Linked DNA regions of Rhinolophus ferrumequinum. The protein of the gene in region 3 binds, or shares a complex with, the protein of the main gene of each other region. Links are inferred from orthologs where the notes say so. Each region holds a gene or a part of one and is shown on either strand. Other genes may lie near its edges.

Region 1 (7,285 bases), on a different chromosome or scaffold from region 3:
CCTTACCCAACGCTCTGACCCCGAGGCCCATGACTCTACCTTTCACCCGTTACCCTCCGGCCACACTGGCTTCCTTTTGTTCCTCAAACACACCAAGTCCAGACCTGCCTCAGGCAGGGTCTTTTCACTCTCCCTAGGACTTAGCCCCCCAGGCTCTCACTGCATTGTCATCTTGGCTCAACTGATCCCTCTTCAGAGAGGTCTCTCTGATGACCCTAAACAAACTCTGTTCATTTCCCCCACCTGTCACCCTATATACCTACCCAGCTTTAAAGCATTTATCAGTCCCTAAAGTTACATTTTATATTTACCTGTTTTCTATCATTCTGCCATGAGAAACATGGCTGAAATAACAGATGACAAATACTGTTGCAAAAACTGTTGGAAGGTGTAGAAAATGCTGAAAATTTAGAAGAAACAAGTATTAGAACAAGAGACACAGGTTTGTAATTTGAAGGTTTGTGATATAGTTGGATAAAATATAGATATTTCTAACAAGTCCCTGTTCATGAGGGTCTCTAGGTTCTGTGTCACTAACAGCATGTAGAAAAAACTACTTTTGAGGCACCATTAATGGGAAGAGGCACCAGGGAGCAGCAGATACTCTGGGCAATAAATCATTTCTTTTATAAACACAATATTTTGTGGTAAAATTGTGTTCATGTAACCACGGAGGATTGTCTGCTTTGAATAAAATAATAAAGAACTCTGAGACAAGACTGTTGGCAGTGTGCTGGTTGTAACCCATCCACTGCCTCAATCACCAGCAGGAAGGGCAGCAAAAGTTGAGTCCACACATTGCTGCAGAATACCATGGATGTGGTTAATTTTATACACACAAGACCTTTCAGACGCCATGGGACTGTTACCGTAATCTGTGTGAGCTGAATATCTGTGAAAGTCCTATGTTCCACACAGAAGGTTGTTGATTATCTCCTGGCGAAATACTCAAAAAGACCTGTCAGACTTGTGATAAGTTATCTTTTTAAACAAAAAGGCACATATTCCTGCCATGACAAGTGGCTGTCAGCAGTATACTACCTAGCAGATATTTTCCAAGTTGTGGATGCACTTAATTTGTCCCTTTGGGGCAAAGGGGATGTTTCAACAAAGTAAGCAGCTGAATGGCTGGGTGTGTTGACTGGCCTTATCTTTATATTTATGATCACAGATGTCCAGGGCCCCCTAATGCTCCCTGACAATTTACTAGATTTCTGATATAACTCTCCCATTTCCAAGGGATATTACACCTCTGCTCTCTCCTCAGACCTTGTACAACCCTCCCACTTCCATGCTCGGCAATGGCTTGCGTCGTATTTCAGGAGGAACAATCAGAAGAGCCCTCCACCTTGTTCCCACCAGTGCCTGCCTCTGACTCCAATGCCTCCCCTTCTTTCCTGGTTCTGCCACACACGAGTTGCCCATGTGGATCCATCCCCTCTCCCCAGTTCAGTGACAGACCCCTAAAATCATTCCCTCTCTCTTTTGCACCATCATTTTTCTCTGAGAGTTCATTTCTATCAGCTTATAGACATCTTAAGCAAGCAAAGAGACAAAAACAGACAAACACATAAAAATCTCCCTGATTTTACATCACCGACCGGCTACGGCTCCTTTGCTTCTGTCTACAACCAAATCCCCCACAAGAGTGGCCCACACTCTTCCACCATTTTCTATTGAACTCACTCTATTTGGCTTTTATCCCCAACAATGAAGCCACTCTTGTCAAGGTCACTGATGACCCCATTTCCCAACCTGGTCATTGCAGTTCTCAGGAGCATGTGACACAGTTGATGGCATCCTCCTTTTGGACACACTCTCTTCACTTGGCTTCCAGGAATCCACACTCTCCGGACTTTCCTTCTATCTTGTGGGCATTCATTCTTAGCCCCCTTTTGTCAATCCTCCTTTGTGGTCCCGACTTCTCTATGTTGCAGTGCCCAGGTCTCAGTCCTCTCTACACTCATACCCTTGATATTTTATCCAGGCTCCTGCCTCCCAGTTACACATCCAGTGGTTACTTTTCCCCTGAACATCAAACTCGTGTATTGCACAGCATACTTAGCATCGCCCTTTGGATAGCGAATAGGCATCACTAACTTAAACATAAACCCAACTTTTACATCTGAACTCTATCATGAGCCTACACCAAAGTTTCTCCCACCTCAGTACATGGCACCTGCATTCTTAGATAGGATCAGACACAAAACTTTGCAGTCATCTTTCACTCCTCTCTTTCTCTCACACGCCACATCCAACCCATCAGGAAAGACTTTCTGCTTATACCTTTGAAGGTGACCACTCCTCATCAGCCTCACCATGCTCACCCTATAACAGCCCACACCTGGGTTATTTCAGTTGCCTCCTAAGTGATCTCCCAGCTCCCCCTTCGCCCCCTTCCAACCTATTCTCCATAGCCCAGAGGAAACCATCTAAAATATGAGGCAGCTTCTGTCACGCTTCTGCTTTCCATCTTACTGAGGATGAGCTCTGATGTCCTTACTACAAACCACAAGACTTGAGTCATGGCCTGGCCCTGGCCACCTCTCTGATCTCAGGTCATCTACCACTTCCTGGCTTATTAAGGACCACCTTACTGTCTAGGTCCGGAGTGCTAATCCCCCAAACATCTGCATGACGGGGTCCCCCATTTCTTTTATGTTTCCTTTCAAATGTCATTTTTATTTGAGAGGCCTTTCTATCTTCATATTTTGATCTCCCTTGGTGATCTCATCTAGCCTCTTTAAATGCCATCTAGATAGAGATAACTTCCAAATGTTTACTTCCAGTCCAGAATTTGCCTCTGAACTCTAGGTTCCTATATCCAATTGCCTTCTCATCCTACCTGGATGTCCTCTAGATAGCTCTAACATAACAAGTCCAAAATAAAATTCTTAATCTTCCTCTGTCCCACTCTCAAACTGTTCCACACACAGTCCTACTCAGTGATAGCTTCACCCTTACAGTTGCTCAGGGCAAAGGTCTTGACATCATCCTTGACTCCTTTCTCTCTCTTATAGCGCACGTCTTGTCCATCGAAATATCCTTATGGCTCTACCTTCAAAATCTGTACTTCCAGGTTCTGTCTACTTCTCACTGTCTCCATTGCCTTTACCTGGGTCAAGTTACCATTATAACTTGTCTGGATTAGGCTATTAGTCTCCTGACTTGTCTCCCAACTTCTGCCTTTGCCGCCTAGCACTCTGTTCTCCCCACAACAGCCAGACTAATCTGCGAAACATAAGTCAGATCATGTAACTCCTCCAGTGGCTCCCCCAATTTCTCCAACTCAAATTCCTTAAAACCGTATTTTGCCCCAACCACATTTTCTTTTTTTTTTTAATTAAATTTTATCGGGGTGACAGTTGTTAGTAAAGTTACATAGATTTCAGGCGTACAATTCTGTATTACATCATCTATAAATCATATTCTGTGTTCACCACCCAGAGTCAGTTCTCCTTCCATCACCAGTCAAGTTCCTTAAAACCATATTTTGCCCCAATCACATTTTCTACTCTTCCTTTAGCTCACTGTTCCAGCCACTTACTGACTACCTTGCTGATCCTCAAATGATATGACATGAGGCTCAGGGCACTGTCTTTACTGTTCCCTCTGACTGGAATGCTGTTCCCAACTTGGCTCTTGCTTCCTTGCCTTCAAGGTCATCTTCTCAGTAAGACTTTTCTTGACCACCCTATTAAAAAGTGAAACCATCTGATAGCTCCCATTCTCTATCCTGCTTTCTCCTTGGTACCCGTCACCATTTATCATACCATGTATTTCCTTATTTATTTTTGTCTCTCACCCCCAAAAATATAACCTCCATGAAGGCAGGGACTTTTGTTTACTTTGTTCACTGCTGAATCCTCAGGGTCTAACGAATAAATCAGGGAATGAATGTGCCCAATGAAGGCACACTAAAAGCTAAATTTAATGAGCACTTACTACGTGAGGCTCAATTAGAAGGGACTCATAGGTAATAGCTAATTTTTACAGAGAAGGAAACTGAGGCACAAGGAAGCAGAAAAGCCGTGATTAGAAACCCAGGTCTAACTCAACCTGCATTCTTTCCTCCAGGACCCTATGTCTCTCCTGTGCTATTAAAAGACAGTACGAAGTGGAAGGTGCCAGCGGTCCGAGAACGTGGGCCTCCATCGCTTCTCCTGCAGCCTGAATCAATACGAGGGTCTTACTGATTCAACACCGGTTGGATTAACAGCTTTCAAAGGAGAGCGTGAGGGATCAGTTCCGTATTAGGCACCGCCCAGTTTCTTACTGGTTGGTTTCAGTTACCTCGACCAGGAAGGGGATGCTGTCTGGGAGAGGGATGCAGGATTTGCGAGCTTCTCCCCAGGAGCCTTCCCGGCAGCCGTAAGGCCCGGAACCCAAAGTCAGTGTCTCAGTTTCCCCCCGGAGGGCTGCTTCCGCTGCTCCCGGAAGCTGCACTCGCTGCGCTAGTAACAGGCCGGGCTGTGTCGGAGGCGGTACTGTTATGGACCTAGAGGAGGCGGTGAGCGGGCCGTGAGCCGGGCGGGTCGGGACAGCGGGGCGGGAGGGGAATGAAACTGAGGAGAAGGGGTTGGAGGACGCGGACACGCTGTGGGTGCGGCCCCAGGCCGAAGGAGGGCGGGGCGGAACGCTGGGGGGCGGGGAAAGGAATGGGGCTGGCGGGCGTGTGAGCTTGCGATTTGGGGAAAGAGGATGGAGTTTCTGGCAGGATGGGGTTGTGGGTGAAGGGGGAGCGGTATTAGCCGATATGGGTGTGTTTCAGGAGAAGGACGAAGTTGTGGGTTTTGTGGGGTGGCCACCCGCGTGGCTCATCCTCTCTCGAGAGGACCACCTACAAGTTCCCTTTGATGTTGGGGCGGGCGAGGGAGCGCCGGCGTTGAAACTTGAATGCCCCCAAGTAACCCCTGCCAGTCTTCGGGAATCCTCGCCACCGTTTGGTGCAGGGATTCCAAATTCGGTTGTGAGGACACTCCAAGTATTGATAGTTATCAATAGGGGGTTAATAAAAACTTGACTAACTTGTCGAAATAAATTTGACATTCATTTTCCACATACTACATAAAATGCCGCACTCTTTATTAAAGGAGTATTCCATAATTAGATCATAATTAGATAATAATGTCAAACACCAAAGAGTTGGAAATCAGTAATTTAGGAACAGTCTATGTATGTATAGAAGAATGATAGAAATAGAAGGCCTTACTTATTGTGGATGCTCAATAGATGTGTATTGAATGATGGATGGGTAACATCTGTAAATGCTGAGTTAATGTCATTAATCATTATAACTCACCATCAGCCTGTATACCTATGAGTAGGGATCCTGTCTAGTTTGCTCACCACTGAATCCCCAGCACTTAAATTCCTGGTACTACATAGTTGATACTCCTTGTATTGCTGAATGAATAAGTTGAAACTGGAAACAACCCTAATAAAAATCTGGTTCCTTTGTAGCGAGTATGTGTTTAGTGTCCTGGAGGAAGTTACAATGTATGCTGTTTCTATTTTTAAGTCTTCTCTATACTTAAACCTTGTCATCTTTTTTCATCCTAGCATTTTCAAGTTTTATTTACTCACTTTTTTTTTTCCATTTTACTCCTACCACCTTTTTCCCCCCCATTTTTTCCCTCACACACTGCATATTTTAGAAATTTTAATTCCATTTCGAACTGCTCAGGAAACCGAATCTCTTTTCTCCCCATTTATAGATAATCTCTCTGATATGTTTTCTATAATTTTTAATGTATAGGGTAAAATTGCAGGGAACCCTGTAGTAGAATTGCAGGCTTTAGGGACAATGCATTGAATGTGGTTTTCCTCTTGTCCTGCAGAAAGAATTCAGAGAACGCTGTACTCAGTGTGCTGCTGTCTCTTGGGGTCTTACTGATGAAGGCAAATATTATTGCACTTCTTGCCACAACGTTACAGAAGTAAGTAACAAATCTCATGTATAAATTTGCTCATGTTTTAAAAATTGCAATTTCAGCCTGATATATGTCATAGTTCCTAAAGAACTGATCTATTTTTAATCACTCATGCAATGCCCAAATTCCAAGAATGTAAATAGTCTTCAAGTGCTTACACAAGGGTTAAGGAATTTGTAAATTAGATTTAGAGTGAGTTTTTGAAATTATGTTGGGCCGTTTATATATAAATGATTTCCAGATTCAGACAGTATAGTCTAAGGGGGAATAATTAAAATTGTATTTAGAAGATGATGCATTTCTTTTTATTAGTTAATACTTATTTAAGAGTTTTTAATGTGTCGTGGTAGCTTAGAGGTTTGGAAGATGAAGTGTTAGAAAGATTGAGGACTGTTGAGAGTATTGGAAATATGCTTCATTATTATTTTTCTTCGTACAGTACCTTACAGATTACCAAGTCTTTTCTTACCCATTATTGAATTTGCCCCTTGTAACAATAGTATTTGAGATATATACTATTATGCATATCTATAGACACAGCAAGTAGGGCTCACCAGTAGAATGAGTTTGCCAAAGTCACACAATTATGAAGTGTTGAGCCAGGAATCGAACCTGAGTCTTCTGAGTTGAGTGTTCATTTTACCCACTGCACCTGCCTCTTAAAATAGAGATTGTCATACTGTCCTATGTGGCATTGGTAAATGAGGTTACCTTCACCCGGTGGGGGGCTAGGTCCTGTTCTGGTTACACATCTTCAGGAAAATAACCAAAATAATCAAGGGTATGGACAGCCTGCTGTTGGACAGGCTAAACATGCCAGGGCTCTTCTCTGGAAAAGGATTTGCTCAAAGTCTACAGAGCCAGGAAGGAACAAATATTACCTTCACCACATTGGCTTAAGAAAGGCAAATTTGGGATAGATGAAAGTAACTGTGTAGACTTCTGCTGCTGGCCAAGATGGAGTAACAGGCACCCGATTTACCTTCCTACCATAAATAACTAAAAACATGGGAAAATATATGAAACAAGTAAAAAAATATTTTCCCTTGAGAAAAGTGGTTAAGTTAGCTTGCAACTCAGTCACACAAGAGCTTTTCCTTTTCGATGACTGAGATAATCATTGTTCTGTCTGCAGTAGCAATTCTTATGTCCTTCCCATTTAGTCACACAGTATTAAAAATATAAGTGCTCATTCAATGAAATGGTTGGGGTGATGGATCTGTTTATTTTCTTGATTATGGTGATGGATTCATGGACACACACACACACCATATTGTATACTGTAATATGTGTAGTTTGATCCTCTGCTTTGATGCATGTTAAGGCAGACTGGTAGTTTTACTCACCGTTGC
Region 2 (6,983 bases), on a different chromosome or scaffold from region 3:
CCAGGTTTCAACTTCTTCAATTTTCTTTTTATGCACAGCAAGTTCATGCTAAAAATATCAAGTTTAAAATAAAACATTTTAACTGAAGGATTTTTGGTACATCACAGATTAATCTAAACATTTTTAATGAAAACACTAAAAAACAAACAAGAAAACACTAAAAAATAAGTAATATGATATAGTAATAGAAAAGGTTGATTACATTTAATTTTTTCTATTGTTATGAAAAAAATGTTTGTAAGCTGACACTATTGTACGAAAACTACTGGGCAGGTTTGGAATTATACGATTTTTTAAAAATCCTGAAATATATTTTGGGAAGGAAATAAATAGGTATTACATTTAGCAAAACACACACACACACACACACACACAACAAAAAAAACCCAGATTAGATCAATTCTATGTTGGGTTAAGTTTAATCTAAGATAAATACAAATAATCAATTGTACAACTTCAGAATAATTGCTGAGAAAATCTGAGCCTTGGGACATAAAAAAAGACACTGGTTTTTTTCTAATTCATTTAGATAAAAAGAATTCTATGAGTAATAATCTGAAAGTGTACATCCCTCTCCTTTATGAAACTAAATTACATAGACATGTTTACATGCTATTTATTACCTGACTTTCTGGTTTGTACTTATCCACCCACGGTTCATTTTCAGACAGATATTCTTTTGAATTTTCTAGACCATAAATGTCTTCTGAGGAAGATAGTTTTCCTCTTTTTCTAGTTGGAAATCTGCTACTTTCTAATGGGGACGACAAATTGTTTCTTCTATGACTTGAGTTTTTCACACCCAATGATGTGGCAGTAATAGTAGAAATGCTTGTATTCTCTGAAAAATCATCAAATGATGGGTCTACCCAGTCTGTTACCTGAAAAAAAGAAATCATGTAAATACTATTGCATTTTTTGCATCTGTTCCCTATGTAATTAAACTGTGTACAAAAAATGTTTGTATATTTGCAACATTTAAAACAAACATCTCGCAAATTAGCTCTTTAAATAGAATTGATGTTATATGTAATACTTATATTTCTACTTTACAGTAAATACAAATGCATACTTGTCTACTTGACCTTGGTAATGATGAATACCATATAAAGGAATATAAGATATAAACTTAATTCTTTTTATCAATGTAATCTTCCCACGATAAAGAATAGGCTGATTCTTTTAAACTTGTTTGTAGAACTGAAACATAAATATTTAAATTACCTACCAAAAAAGAAGCAAAACAAAGAAACATTATTTTACCCATGTACAACGAGAAAAGTAACACTTTTGCCTTCACCAGGTAATACATTACATTTCAATACATCCAAATAATCCCTAACAGCTTCAAGACTTTGTGAGGATATAGTCTAAGACTCCTGATGTTATGAATAATTTGTTAATATGACTTAATTATATTCACTCCTCTTTTAAGGACACAGGGTTAGAATATTATCAGCAGTGGGTAAAGAAATGAAAACTTCTGGGAAAAAATTTGGTCATAGTTACCCAATTCGTCTCCTTCTCTTTAAAAGACTGTCACTATTACTATAATTTTGGCCCTTTTCCTCAATTTTTAAGAGTATATAAAAATATTATGTGTGAATAACAATTCTGATCTACATGTTACTTATATGTTTTATAGTTTTATTTCTTACATAAATGTGGACTGCCATTTACTGAAAAAAGAGAGAAATGGCAAAGTTAAATAATTTACTTAAGATCAGAGAAAAATCAGACAAACCATTAGGAAAATAGCTACTTTGCATATGAGGATGATACTGTCCAACTCTACCTTCATCCTACTCTACCCCCTAACCTTGCTGAGAACTGGCACACTGAACCACATGATTTCTAAGAGGCAGAGCCTCTGTTAAGCTTTAACACCAAATACAATTCATATAGTCCTTTCTTCTACTGCTCTTTCAAGAGTTTTCAGCATTTTCTTTTTGATTGGGATTGCAAATGACTTTTCAAAATTAAGGTTGTACTTTTAGTGCAGAGCTGTTTCATAACTTATTAGACTTTTTAGATCACTAATTAGAACAGATACTGGCACCATTACTTTGATAGCAGTAATAAATCATTAAAAACATGTACAAAAATTTTACTTTTTTTTTTTAAGGCAATTATTACAGGACAATTTTAGTGTATCATACCTTTGTGGAAGATAGCTTTTGTCTAAGAAAAGGTTTTGACATTATAAACTTTAATAGTTCCCATCCGTAGTATATAACCTGTAGTACATTAAAGTATAATTCACCTGGGGGGAAAAATTCTCAATTAAGAAAAACTGTAAAACAGAAGGACAGTAATTAACATATGGGATATAATCAACAGCATAAGAAGGTTAAGGCTCAAGATGAGTGAAAAAGAACTAAGTGAAAGAGAACTGAGTAAACATAGGTGAAACAAGAGTCAAATGCTAAAATAAATTTTAATTTTAATGGCTATAATTGTCAGTCTATTCATGGTATTATAAATGTAAATTATTTGATACGAACTCAATAACTAGAGAAAACGGAAAAACCACATATTTGTGTACCTACCTTTTGTCATTAAGGAAAACTAGACATTCTATTTGTGTAGTTTTTATAGGAAAATTTAAAATTTCCCTTATTTCAAATTACAGTTGATTACAAATTTGTAATTTTGTAATTTGGCAAATTACAGTTGCCAAAATTTCAACAAAAACACTCCACCATACAATGAATTCAGACTTTATCACTCACTTTGGACAAAGATTTTAAATCTTACTGTAAGTTTTTCCTATAACTGTTTTCCTTATTTGAACATATTAGGAAATTTTTTGGCAACACTATATTTTCCGACTTTCATAATTCTTCAGTGTTTATACAAAACTAGTAAACTCGCCAATTTTAAGTTAGCCAGAGGAAAGTTTTTTTAAGGTCTATAAACTTATAAATTGGGAGGTCTATGGGACTTTTTTTTTAATAGCGTGGAGGCACACATAATGTGTAAATACTTCCACGTACTAGAAAACAAATCGTACACATACAGATACAAATCGTTCACGATTAGAGTTTTTTTGCTTTGGCGTTTCAAGAGATACATAGATGTTAAAAACATTGAGTACATCTAGCTGGCAGGTCGAAGTAAAAGGCACAGACTGTCGCTACGGCCAGGAGTCCAGTCGTTCTTTCAAAACAAGACTGACAATTACCTCCTTTAAAAAGCAGGTAACCGTCCTTGACGATGCCAGGGTCCTGAAACGAGACGTCAGAGGTAGAAGAAACCTTCGAGAATATTTCTAGCAGACCCACCACCACCCTACACACTGAACAGGGGTTAATAAGCTCAGACAGTTGTGCAACGTAATGCTGCTCATCAGTGGAGAGCCGAGATCCGCTCGCTTGCGCCGGCTCCAGGCCAGAGGTCTGCACCCCCACCCTCTCATCGCCAAAGGGGATGGGCAAGTAGGAAGGAGGAGCGACGAGACCCCGGGAAGGCGTGCAGGCAGAGATGGACTCGCATCACTAGGACATATACTGCAGCCGCAGCCGCGGCGGCCTTACTTGCGGGGAGCTGCATGACCTCATGCGCGGAGAGGAGCGAAGGAACCCAGGTTCTGCTCCAGTAGAAGGGAAGCCACCAGGTCTTACCCGGGCTCAGCCCCTAGCCTCTCCGAGGTCCCGCCTCACGGGACCTTCCAGACCCATCGGCCCTTCCGCGACAGAGCCCGAAGGGCGGAGGCAGCCAAAGGAACAAGCGACTTAGGCATCCAGCGCACTGCCTGACCTGAATTGCGGACCCGAACTGTGTCCCTGTCTCGGACCCTGAGATGGAATTGTGTCATAGAAGGTCAGATAACCAATGGTTGGTGACTAGAAGGCGGAGATGGGTCGCGAGCGCCGTGCAGGATCTTGAGGACCCCGGGGCCACTGGCGCTTGCCGCGGCCCGCTCCTTCCGGCTCCAGCCTGTTATACTTAGGTCTCGTGTGCCGATATTCCCAGAGCCGTCGCGGGGAGGACCATGTTGCTTCCGAACATCTTGCTCACCGGTCAGGGCGCGCGGCGGGGACGGGCTGGACGGCGGGGCAGGCCAGGGACGCTGAGTGCACTGGGGCCTCGGGCGCCCGAAGTGTGTGTTTGTCACACACACAGCGGGGGCGCTCACATATTCGAGGCCAGTCGAGGGCCTCGAGGCGTGGCAGTTGCCAGGGCCTCGAGATGGGGCCCTCGCGATCGTAGCAGGAGGCGGCGGGGGGGAGGCGGCGGGGGGGAGGGGAACGTTCGTTCTGTTGGCCCGAGGTTGCTCGGTGAGGTGGAGAGAGGTAGACCAATCTAGTTCCCCTTTCTGGCATGCTGCCTGCTCTTCCTGAATCTGGTTTTTGTTTCTAAAATGGATGTTGATTCTTTATTTGGCAGGGTTTTCTTTGGCTTTTTGCGATATCTTGTAAGGCAGTATTTGGCCCTTAGTAGATCTGTTACTGGTGGATGCCTTAGTCGTTAGGCCTTACCTGGCCGTGTTTCATTTTTCCTTTGTATCTGAGAGTCAGATTTCAGTAAAAGGGCTCAGGTGTTTGTGGTATAGGGTGATTAATTTGCTATATATGTTTGTTGAGTTAATGCCAGAGGCTTTTTTCTTTTCTTCCAAGAACAAAAGGCATCTACTGAGCATCTCGTCGTTTCTTGTGTAGAGATGCTGAAAAATTCCCGTGGGGGCCCTTCTGGGTCTCCCGGCCTGTTATACGTGAGGAGTACTGAAATGCCGCATAACGACTTTAAAGAATGTTACTGTTTGTCGTTTAACTCTGAAAATGTTTATTAAATTGTAGCAGTTAATAGCATCATAGGGCATTCATTGAAGAAAATCTAATGGTTATAGGTGCTATTACAACACAGAAAAATTGAGACACTCTGGAAACAAAGCAATAAAGTTTTCATCATTTAACAAAACATAAGCTTGTTGGTAGTGCACAATTTCTGTTTCTGAGAGTTGCAGATTAACCTCTCAACAAATTAATGTTCAGCCTTTAAGATTCCTTAAAAGGAAGATTTTACGGCATCTGAATTGTTTGGGTCAGACAGTGTCCTGGATTTTGATATTAAGGCATATTGTCAAAAATCAAGGTGAGCATTTTATTGAAAACCTGGTAAGTCCAGGGTTCAAACTTGGTGTATTATAGTGGACTTAAGGTAAATGTTATTGTCTTGTATATGGAGACTTGATTTATCCCTGTTATCTTGGATTGTAACGATCAAGTTTTATTATTTCGGTGACATTAAACCCAAACAGCCTAAAATTATGCATTGATGCATCTTGAAATACAATAGATAATAAAAAGGGAAAGTGAAGAACAATGTGTAGCGTTGCCATTTATGTAAAAGGGAATGTATGTGTGTGTATGTGCACATAATATGTATACATATATGTACACATGCTGTTGTGTATACATATACATGAATGTGTACACAAACACATACATAGGACTTCGTTGGAAAGATATATAAGGAACTGGTTTACAGTGGTTGCCTCTAGGGAAGAGTACAGGGGATCACAGGTGGAAATGAGATTTGTCTTTCATACTTCTTAGATTTTTTTCCCGTGAATAATTTCTTAATTTTTAAAAAATTAAAGCGAACAAGGATATTAATTTATGTGGGATGGCTAATTTTACTCTGGGAATGTCCATAGTGTTGGCAAGCAGTCTGAATTGGCATCAGAATCACCCAAGCCACACTCCTGATAGAATCAGATACACTGGGTGAGACTTGGACATCCATCATGCTTGGGGTGGTTATTGTGTGTGTTAATTCACATGGGATTGCTAATTAGGAAACTTCATTTCAGTCATTAACCTTAAGCGGGGCACATAGCTTACTAAAGCCTAGTAAGTATTTCATGAACAGTATTTTTCTTACAGGTACACCAGGGGTTGGAAAAACCACGCTGGGCAAAGAACTTGCATCAAGATCAGGACTGAAATACATTAATGTGGGTGATTTAGCTCGAGAAGGTAAGGGACATTTTGATGTTAAATTTGTTTTTAAAAAGAGAGAGTGTGAGAGACAGATAATGGAGTATTAGTACTATCCTTGAGAGGGTACAACATGCAGAGAAAGATTGCCATTAAGGAGTTATGCTCTACTGGGGATCCATAGAAATCATAAGCATTAAGTGTCTAAAGCTATGTCCTGGCTATTTTGACCATTACATTGCTCCCCAGTTGACTAGCAGTTCTTGTGGACAGTAATAATTGAGGTTTTCATGAAGAGATTGGATTTAGGATAGGTAGAATCTGAATATGAAGAAGAGGGACAATGTTTGGAGATGGGTCAACACAAAGGTTTGGGTGGTGCTGAGGATGTCTTTGGAGACAGTGTTATATTGATCTTACTGGAAGGACAGATTATTTTGAAATCAGACAGTAGAACATGACTGTCCTGTGGTATTTTCTTACATTAATTTGATAGTTGCATGTCTGCATGCAACTGCACATATTCTAAAATATGTTTTTACTTATTTTACCATTTCCCCCTCATCTTTTATCACTCCCTTATTGTGTCTTTATCTTTGTTTATCTTATAATTGTATCTTTATTCTATAATGATTTCTACAGGGTAGAAACTCAATAAATTTAAGGGAACTTCTTAAAGTGTGCCTCATTAAAATTAAAAAGATTTAACATATTTTTAAAATTTAAATATGTTTTGAAAAATTTAACGTATTTAAAATTTTTTAAGTTCCTGACAGTTGCTACTATAGTAACTATTTCAGGTTTGACCTAATGTACGTATTTTTTTCAAATGATCTGAAGTCTGATCACCGGATATCATGGAGTCTGGCAAGATGGCTTCTCCCAAGAGCATGCCGAAAGATGCACAGATGATGGCACAAATCCTGAAGGATATGGGGATTACAGAATATGAGCCAAGAGTTATAAATCAGATGTTGGAGTTTGCCTTCCGATATGTGACCACAATTCTAGATGATGCAAAAATTTATTCAAGCCATGCTA
Region 3 (7,176 bases):
AAAGCTGCGGGGTGGGGCCCGAGGCACCCTGAGTTGCTTGCTGGGCCGCCACCTGCTGTGCTGCGGCTGTCACCGCTGTCACCGTCGTCACCGCTGCCTGCTGCTGCTGCTGCTGCTGCTGCTGCTGCTGCTGTTGCTGCTGCTGCCGCTGCTGCTCCTCCAGGACAGACAGGCTGCTGGGGTTCTGGATCGGCTGCGGGGTCAGCCCCGTGCCGTACGGCATCATGGGGCTGAAGATGGGGATTCCTGGGGTCATGGCGCCCTGTCAAAGGCGGGAGGAAATGGGTCAGGCCAGCTGCTGGGTGGTGTGTGCAGGACGCACCTGGGGAAGGACGGGCATCTTCCAGTGTGACAGGTCCCTGAGCATGGCGACAGGAACCTGCTCCTTATGCACCCCCTTTCTTTACACGACAAAGCAGGGAACGGCTTAGGGCTCGGAACTGGACCTGGCTGTGCCATCCACGCTTGCTACTTACCACGTGTGAGAACCTGAACAAGCTGCTTAGCTATTCGGGCATTCTAGGGGATAGTAACATGTGAAGGTCGTTAGAAAGAATAAGGGAGAGAACTGGAGTGAGCACACATCCTTGTTTAAACTCTTATCCTAACTTACCATTGGGGTGGTTCCCCGTCACACTCTCAAAGAGGATCTGTCTCAGTTTGGATGATAAATTTTATGGTTACGCTAGAGACATCCACTGAAGGCATCCAACACAATGACAGGCACATAGAAAACACTGACATGTTAGCAATGACAGTGACAATCATTCTCCAGTTGCTGACATTAGGGGTGTTTCCGTGCTGGGGCTATTATGAATAAAGGTGTTGTAAACATCTGTGTGCAGGCTTTGTGTATACTGTGTTTTCATTTCTCTGGGGTGAATGCTTAGCAGTGGGATTGCTAGGTCACGTGGTAACTTTATACATCCATTTTCCACAACAGACTGCTACATTCCCTTCCTTCCCTTCCATACTCTCTCTGACAATGCGAACAGCTGGACTGCACCCCCTACCGCTGTGTTACCTGAGGGGAGGCCAGGCCCTGAGCATAGGGTGGCAGGCTGCTGTTCTGATCCATGATGACTGCTTTCTTTTTGGCAAATCAACACCTGGGCCTGGAGCTCGCCTCAGCGTTCAGGCTTTTCCTAGAGCATCCCTAGCACACTCTTCTCAGCAAGTTCAACTCTCTATCTTCAGGCACACCAGGGAACACTGATGCTGCTTGGAGGACAGAATGAAGTTTAGTGTAAGAATACAGGTACATTATACAATCTTATAAACCAGTTTCATGATTACACAATCCCCCCCACACCCCAAAACTCAAGCTATTTTGGAATACACTTCTTTTTACCAATAATGTTGAAATCTTATTCTTTCCATGTTTCCTGTGACTGCATGCCAAATCGCCAACAGAAATAAAAACTGTTTTGCTACTGTTTAATTTAATTACTCATAATATTACAATTTAAGGTGTCGTGATCAGCACTGAAAACTTCTGGGGGGGAAAACGTCCAGAGAAAAATTCCTAAGCGAACTGTCATGTCTGAGTAGAGAGATTTATTAACACCGTTTACACAACTCTATTAGGCTAAGTTCAGGTTTTAAAGTATTCCAATCAATTTTATATCTTCAAAGTTTGGGCGTTAAGTTCAATAAATACTTAATTTGAGTCCAATACACTTTTGTCTATCGGTTATTGAACTGCTACTTTAATAAAACACTAAGAAGTAGTACAGACATAAAAATAATTAAAAGACCATGTTTTTACTCGTGCAATAACTACCTCTTTAGAACACATCAATACAAAGTGTGCTTATGTCTGGCTTTCCTAAAGTTACTCTTTACTGGCTAAACATTTGAAGTTAGTTTTAGACAAAAGAACCAAGTGGCTGCTGAAAGACCTTTTGTTCAGTTTAGTTCAGATGGACCCCTGACTTGCTCAGGGTTGTTGTGAGAACTGATTGAATCAAATAGTATTAACTGATTAATACGTCACAAACAGCATCTAGTTATCATACAGAAGCACAGGATAAATGTGTGCTATTATCATAAGATTTCAGTTTAAACATTAATACCTGATCAGACGTTCTCACACAGACCTACAGGTCCTAGTTACATGTGGAAAGTCAAAAACCCACATTCACTTCAAGCATGTGCAGTTGCAAAGCAAGCACTCAGATATTTCGGGAATAAATGAAAGAATCTGATAACCACTTTCAGAGGACAAAGGACCCCAAGGGCTACATACTCATTACTGACAGATCATCATAAACATGAAAACTCTGCCTCAGAAAATGTCAGAGATATACGAACGGTTATACGCTTTTGACACTAATCCTGCTGTTACAACAGAAGTGCTGCAAATACAAAGATGAAGAGGATGTAGTCCTTAGCCTTCCCACATCAGGAGAAACGATGGCAGGACAGGAGAACTCCGGGGCTTGGTGCGCGGCACCGTGCAGTCCGGGTTCCTCCCGCGCCCGGCACCCCACGCTCGTACGGCCGAAAGCCGCTTTCGAATTACAGCAGAGGGCAGCCGGCGAATCGGCGGGTGGGCGGCCGGTACAGGCCGAGTGGCTCTGGCCCGGGCGGGAGGCACGTTCCCGCGCGGCCTGCGCGCCCACCTGCGTCTCCCACCGCCATCGCCCCGGGGCCTCGCTGCAGTGGTCGCCTCTGAACAACCCTCAGAAAAGAGAAGAGGCTAAAGGGCTGTTACCTGGAGTCACTGCAGAGAACACTACCCGCCCGCGAAAACGGAGTTAAGCCGTAGGCGGCACCAGCGCCCGCCCCGGCCACCCTCCCGACCCTACTGAACCGTTGGCGCGCGTTTATACTGTCACTTCCGCCAGTCCAGCCCTTGGCTTCAGCGAGGTGCCCACGCTGGAGCGGCGGCCATGGGAAGTGTGGGTAGTGTCACTTCCTGTGTTTCCTGGGATGATCGGTTGAAGGGTATTGAGAGGCGGGGCGGAGCTCTTCAGGACTTCCGGGGTGAGGGTGCCTGGCCGGAGCGTTTTCTGATTGGTTGTTGCTGGAAGGAGCGAGATACAGATTTTTATGTATTTATTTATTTTATTATTATTATATTTTAGATAGTTCATCAAAAAGAGGATTATTCGGGAAAAGAATACAAAACCGCCACAGCGGTGTGGGAACACGCACCTTCCGGCCGACCGTCTACGTGCAAAAGAGAGCGAGATACAGATTTTTAAATGTGGACTTTCTAAGCGACTCTCTGTGTGACCTTTGGCAAGTTACCTGGCTCTCTGCCTCAGTTTGTTGGTCTGCAGAATGGACTAATAGCAGACGTTGCCCTCAATGGACGTTGAGAGATGGAATAAGGAAAAGCATGAACCGTGCCTGGCACGTGATGAGCACTCAGTCAGTGCATGCTTTCTATTCTCAAACATGTCAAAAGATAAGAAAAACAAAAGCAGACAGCCTGGCTTACAGAGTCAAGTATATTTTACTTCTGCTACTACCATCTTATGCTCTTTTTTCACATTTGTCTCAATGAGACTGTCCATAGTTGTTTATTAGCTTCCCGATGCTTGTTTAGATCCCAGAGTACCTTTATCTCTTTCTACAGTTCATTTAGACATAATCATATATTGTACCTATAGGGGAGGAGAATTTTTCCTCTACACTATAGGTTCTTTTGGCTGTTCTATTCATTAAATTGACATAAAACAATAACAGGAGATGAACAAATTTTATTATGTACTATTATGGGACAATAAGAGGCTCCCTGGCAGTCAGTCATTTGAGGCTTATGTGCCATCCTGAGCTAAGGAGAAGGGGATAGGGATCTGTGGTTTCAAAGGGAAGGAAGAGAACTCTGAGGAAGACGGGTAGAGCAAAGGTTTGATAAATAAATGTTTGCCATGCCATGGAAGAGACAATGGGACATAGAGAGGATGTTGAACAAGCAGGCCCTGCTGAGCTCCCCCAGCCCACCACACCTGGCTCATACTCTTTGCATTTATCTCTGGTGATCTCTCTCTTCCTGGACCAGGCCATCTAGCTACATTCTTTTAGGCAGTTAAAGGAGAGGTAAAAAGTTTTTCCTGAGTCTTTTGGGTCCCCATTGTCTTCGGCTCAAAATAATCCCCATGCCAAAGTGGCACATTGTGGGAAGACTTGTTCTGAACCCCTTCATACTGCTTATTGTTTTGCTTCCTTTGTATTTTATATACTCAGTGAGGTTGTGAGCCCCTTTAAGGATAGGGAATGTTATATAGATTGTTTTCTATCCAGGACAGTACCTGAATAAATACAATGCTTCTCTGTCAATAACCAAACCAAAGAAAGTCCTTTTCTTATCCTTTTTGTTTGTTTGCAGTAAAACATGGGGAGAGTTTTAATTAAACAAGTAGTTTCAAAAATCTTTTCTGGTTCCAGAATTCCATGTATATATTAGTAGTCCATCATATATTAGCCAATTGCTTAATTGCTTCTTAAAACATAACATTTTAAAAATTGTAAAATAGATTTTTCATATGAGGAAGTGAATAAACGCTTGTACAGGATAGTTATAAATCAAATAAAGAAAGCGACTATTGCCAGCACCAGAACCCCAGTCCCATACCTCAGCCAAGCAGGCCCCTCCTACTCACTGTGTACTCCTAAGTGAGGTAGTATGTATTCTTTTGCTCAACGTTATAAGACTCATACTTAGAGCTAACCTCGGTTAATTTTCCTTGCTGTGACGTCCTTCAGTTGGGGTTATCCATTCTGCTGTTTATGGACCTTTGGCTCATTTCCAGTTTGGGGCTATTAAGCACAATGCTATATGAACGCTGTTGCACGGGTCTTCTGGGTAGAGCGTATACCTCAGAGTTGAACTGCTGGGGCCTAAGGTGTGTACATCTGCCCTTTTACAAATGTGCTTGTACCCGTTTACACTCCAATAGAGGATTCGACTTTCCGTTGCTCCACAGTTTTGCCAAATTTTTTGTATGGTCAGATTTAAAAATTTTTGTCCATCAGGAGTGAATTTGAATGTTTTCTTAGGAAAGAAGGCCGTGACATCTCAGTAAGCTTCCTCGGAATACGGGGCGCTCCTCTACCCACAGCCAGGCTGCAGAGCGGACCTCCAGGAGCTGGGCATCTGTGCCACACGGAACGACGGGAAGGAGCACCGCGGAACAGCCGGAAGCGGCGGATTTCCGGCTGAGGCCACCATCTCGCCGTGAGACAGCAGGAGCGGCTGCCGAGCGATGTTGTCCTCCCCAGCCGTGTACTCGGGCCCCGGCAGAGACCTGGCGATGGAGCCTCACAGCGTCGCGGGCCCTGTGAAGCTGCGCTTTTCGCCCTACGCTTTCAACGGAGGGTAAGGCCCGGCGAGTCGCCCCTTTCGCTTTCGCACCCCCCCCACCCCAACGTCCCTGCTCAAGCCTTTGGGGGTCGCGGCGGACCCGATGCCTGCCCCGCCGTCCTGCAGACCTGGGTCTCCGTGGGTTGCTCGCGTCAGTCTTAGTCTTCCCGGCTGCACCTCAGCGGCCGGCCACTTGGGGCTTGCTGTGGACGGCCATGTGTGCACTGCCCGCTCGCCCTCTGCCGCAGTGAGGCAGCAGATAGAAATCGAAACCCGGCCTCTGGTCCGGAAGACCTTTACAAATGGACCGAGCCTTTCTTGAACGGTCTAGTCGTCTTCCTCATGCCGCAGGCGAGGGGCAGGCTTAGCTTGAAATTACCAAGTTAGCATTGCTCGGTCCTTGCTGTTATATATATAGCTGTGTCTGTACCTAAAAGGTCCAATCAAACCGCTTGGTAATCGTTTCTGTTATTTTAAATAGAAAGTAGGTTTAGTTGGCCAGGCTTAGTTTCATAGATAAATGCTTGTTTTTAAGGTTTAGCTTAAGTTCAGGGAAAAAATACTCAGGAGGGGGCCTTTTAAAATGTTACGTTCTTGCATGTTACATTTAAGTTGTATTTTTTTTTATCACCAGCTTTATCTTAAGTAAGACTCTTCTTTGCTAACTTGTTACCGTGTTTCCCTGAAAATAAGACCTAGCCGGACAATCAGCTCTAATGCGACTTTTGGAGCAAAAATTAATATAAGACCTGGTCTTTTATATTATATTATGGTTATATTACATGACCTGATCTTATAGTAAAATAAGACCGGGTCTTATATTACTTTTTGCTCCAAAAGACGCATTACAGCTGATTGTCTGGCTAGGTCTTATTTTCGGGGAAACACAGTATTGCATTAGTCTTATTGGAAGTGTCTCCATCCCATTTCACATACTGTCCCAGTAGTTGCTGCCGTGTTGCTGGCCCAGTAGTCTTCTTAAAACTCCACTTTGCAAATGGAACTCTTCTCATTCTTGCTCATATGATCTCTGTGGTTTCTCACTAAAATTCCAGAATCTTTAGTTTGGCGTTTGGCATTTTCCACAATCGGATCCCTGTCCATTACATAAGCTTTATGATCCTCGTCTTCCTTACACATAAAGGGATACCTGAATAAGTTGTTTGAATGTATTATTTGAATTATTACGCATTTCCTTTCAGTCACTGTCCATAGTGTCTGGGATACCATCCTTTAGTACTTCAGAACTTTAGTGCACATCCCACCTCTGGTAAAAGGAAGTTTTCTGAGTGCTTTCTGTTCTCTGAGGTGCTGTGCTGGGGCTTTTATGAATTATGTCATTTAACTCTCACAGTCACCCTGTAATACAGAAACTGTTATTGTCATCGATCTGAACTTGGATAATTTGTCCAAGGTCACAGAGATAGGTGAGTGGCAAGATTGGGTCCTAGGTAGCTGCAGAGCCTAGGTTCTCAGTGGTCGCCATACTGCCTGGTACGTATGCCACCATGGTGCTAACTAAAGGGGACCAGTTATGTTTCAGGCACTAGTATGGGGCTTTACAATTATTAACTAATTTAATCCTTGTAACACCCTGTTAAGGTATCTACTGTTAGGACCTGTGATCTACATATGTGGACAGTGAGGCCTTGAGACGTTAAGTAACTTAGCCGCAGTCTCATATCTGCCGAGTGGGAGAATCAGAATGAGAACCCAGACAGTCTGCTTTGGAATTCGTGCTCTAGGCCTCTGCAGTAAACAGCCATCGGAAATCGCATAGCCACAAAGTGAAGTTTGGTTTCTGTTCATTTTTCAGCAGATTATTTGTGTGTCTACTGAGTGCTAGACGTCATATAAGGGCT

The links. The genes of interacting proteins can lie anywhere in the genome.
Region 1: TBP (region 3) and TAF1B share a complex: the UniProt entries of both Homo sapiens proteins name them as parts of the transcription factor SL1/TIF-IB complex. The link is inferred for Rhinolophus ferrumequinum from reciprocal best matches to the Homo sapiens genes TBP and TAF1B.
Region 2: TBP (region 3) and TAF9 share a complex: the UniProt entries of both Homo sapiens proteins name them as parts of the TFIID basal transcription factor complex. The link is inferred for Rhinolophus ferrumequinum from reciprocal best matches to the Homo sapiens genes TBP and TAF9.

The regions. Positions count from the first base shown.
Region 1 is NC_046296.1:65,800,257-65,807,541, reverse strand, and holds the start of TAF1B (TATA box-binding protein-associated factor RNA polymerase I subunit B), read left to right. Parts: upstream 1-4,269; 5' UTR 4,270-4,492; coding exon 4,493-4,510; intron 4,511-5,840; coding exon 5,841-5,939; intron 5,940-7,285. UniProt on the Homo sapiens protein: Component of RNA polymerase I core factor complex that acts as a GTF2B/TFIIB-like factor and plays a key role in multiple steps during transcription initiation such as pre-initiation complex (PIC) assembly and postpolymerase recruitment events in polymerase I (Pol I) transcription.
Region 2 is NC_046290.1:44,820,444-44,827,426, reverse strand, and holds the start of TAF9 (transcription initiation factor TFIID subunit 9), read left to right. Parts: upstream 1-3,967; 5' UTR 3,968-3,994; coding exon of another isoform or gene 3,995-4,022; intron 4,023-5,888; coding exon of another isoform or gene 5,889-5,981; intron 5,982-6,782; 5' UTR 6,783-6,799; coding exon 6,800-6,983. Other genes in the region: cell cycle checkpoint protein RAD17, read right to left, coding at 1-48, 624-881, 2,160-2,263, 3,185-3,227, 3,537-3,560; AK6 (adenylate kinase isoenzyme 6), read left to right, coding at 3,995-4,022, 5,889-5,981. UniProt on the Homo sapiens protein: The TFIID basal transcription factor complex plays a major role in the initiation of RNA polymerase II (Pol II)-dependent transcription.
Region 3 is NW_022680354.1:3,019,470-3,026,645, reverse strand, and holds the start of TBP (TATA-box-binding protein), read right to left. Parts: upstream 3,026-7,176; 5' UTR 2,717-3,025; intron 1,222-2,716; 5' UTR 1,079-1,221; coding exon 1,025-1,078; intron 263-1,024; coding exon 1-262. Other genes in the region: PSMB1 (proteasome subunit beta type-1), read left to right, coding at 5,217-5,329. UniProt on the Homo sapiens protein: The TFIID basal transcription factor complex plays a major role in the initiation of RNA polymerase II (Pol II)-dependent transcription.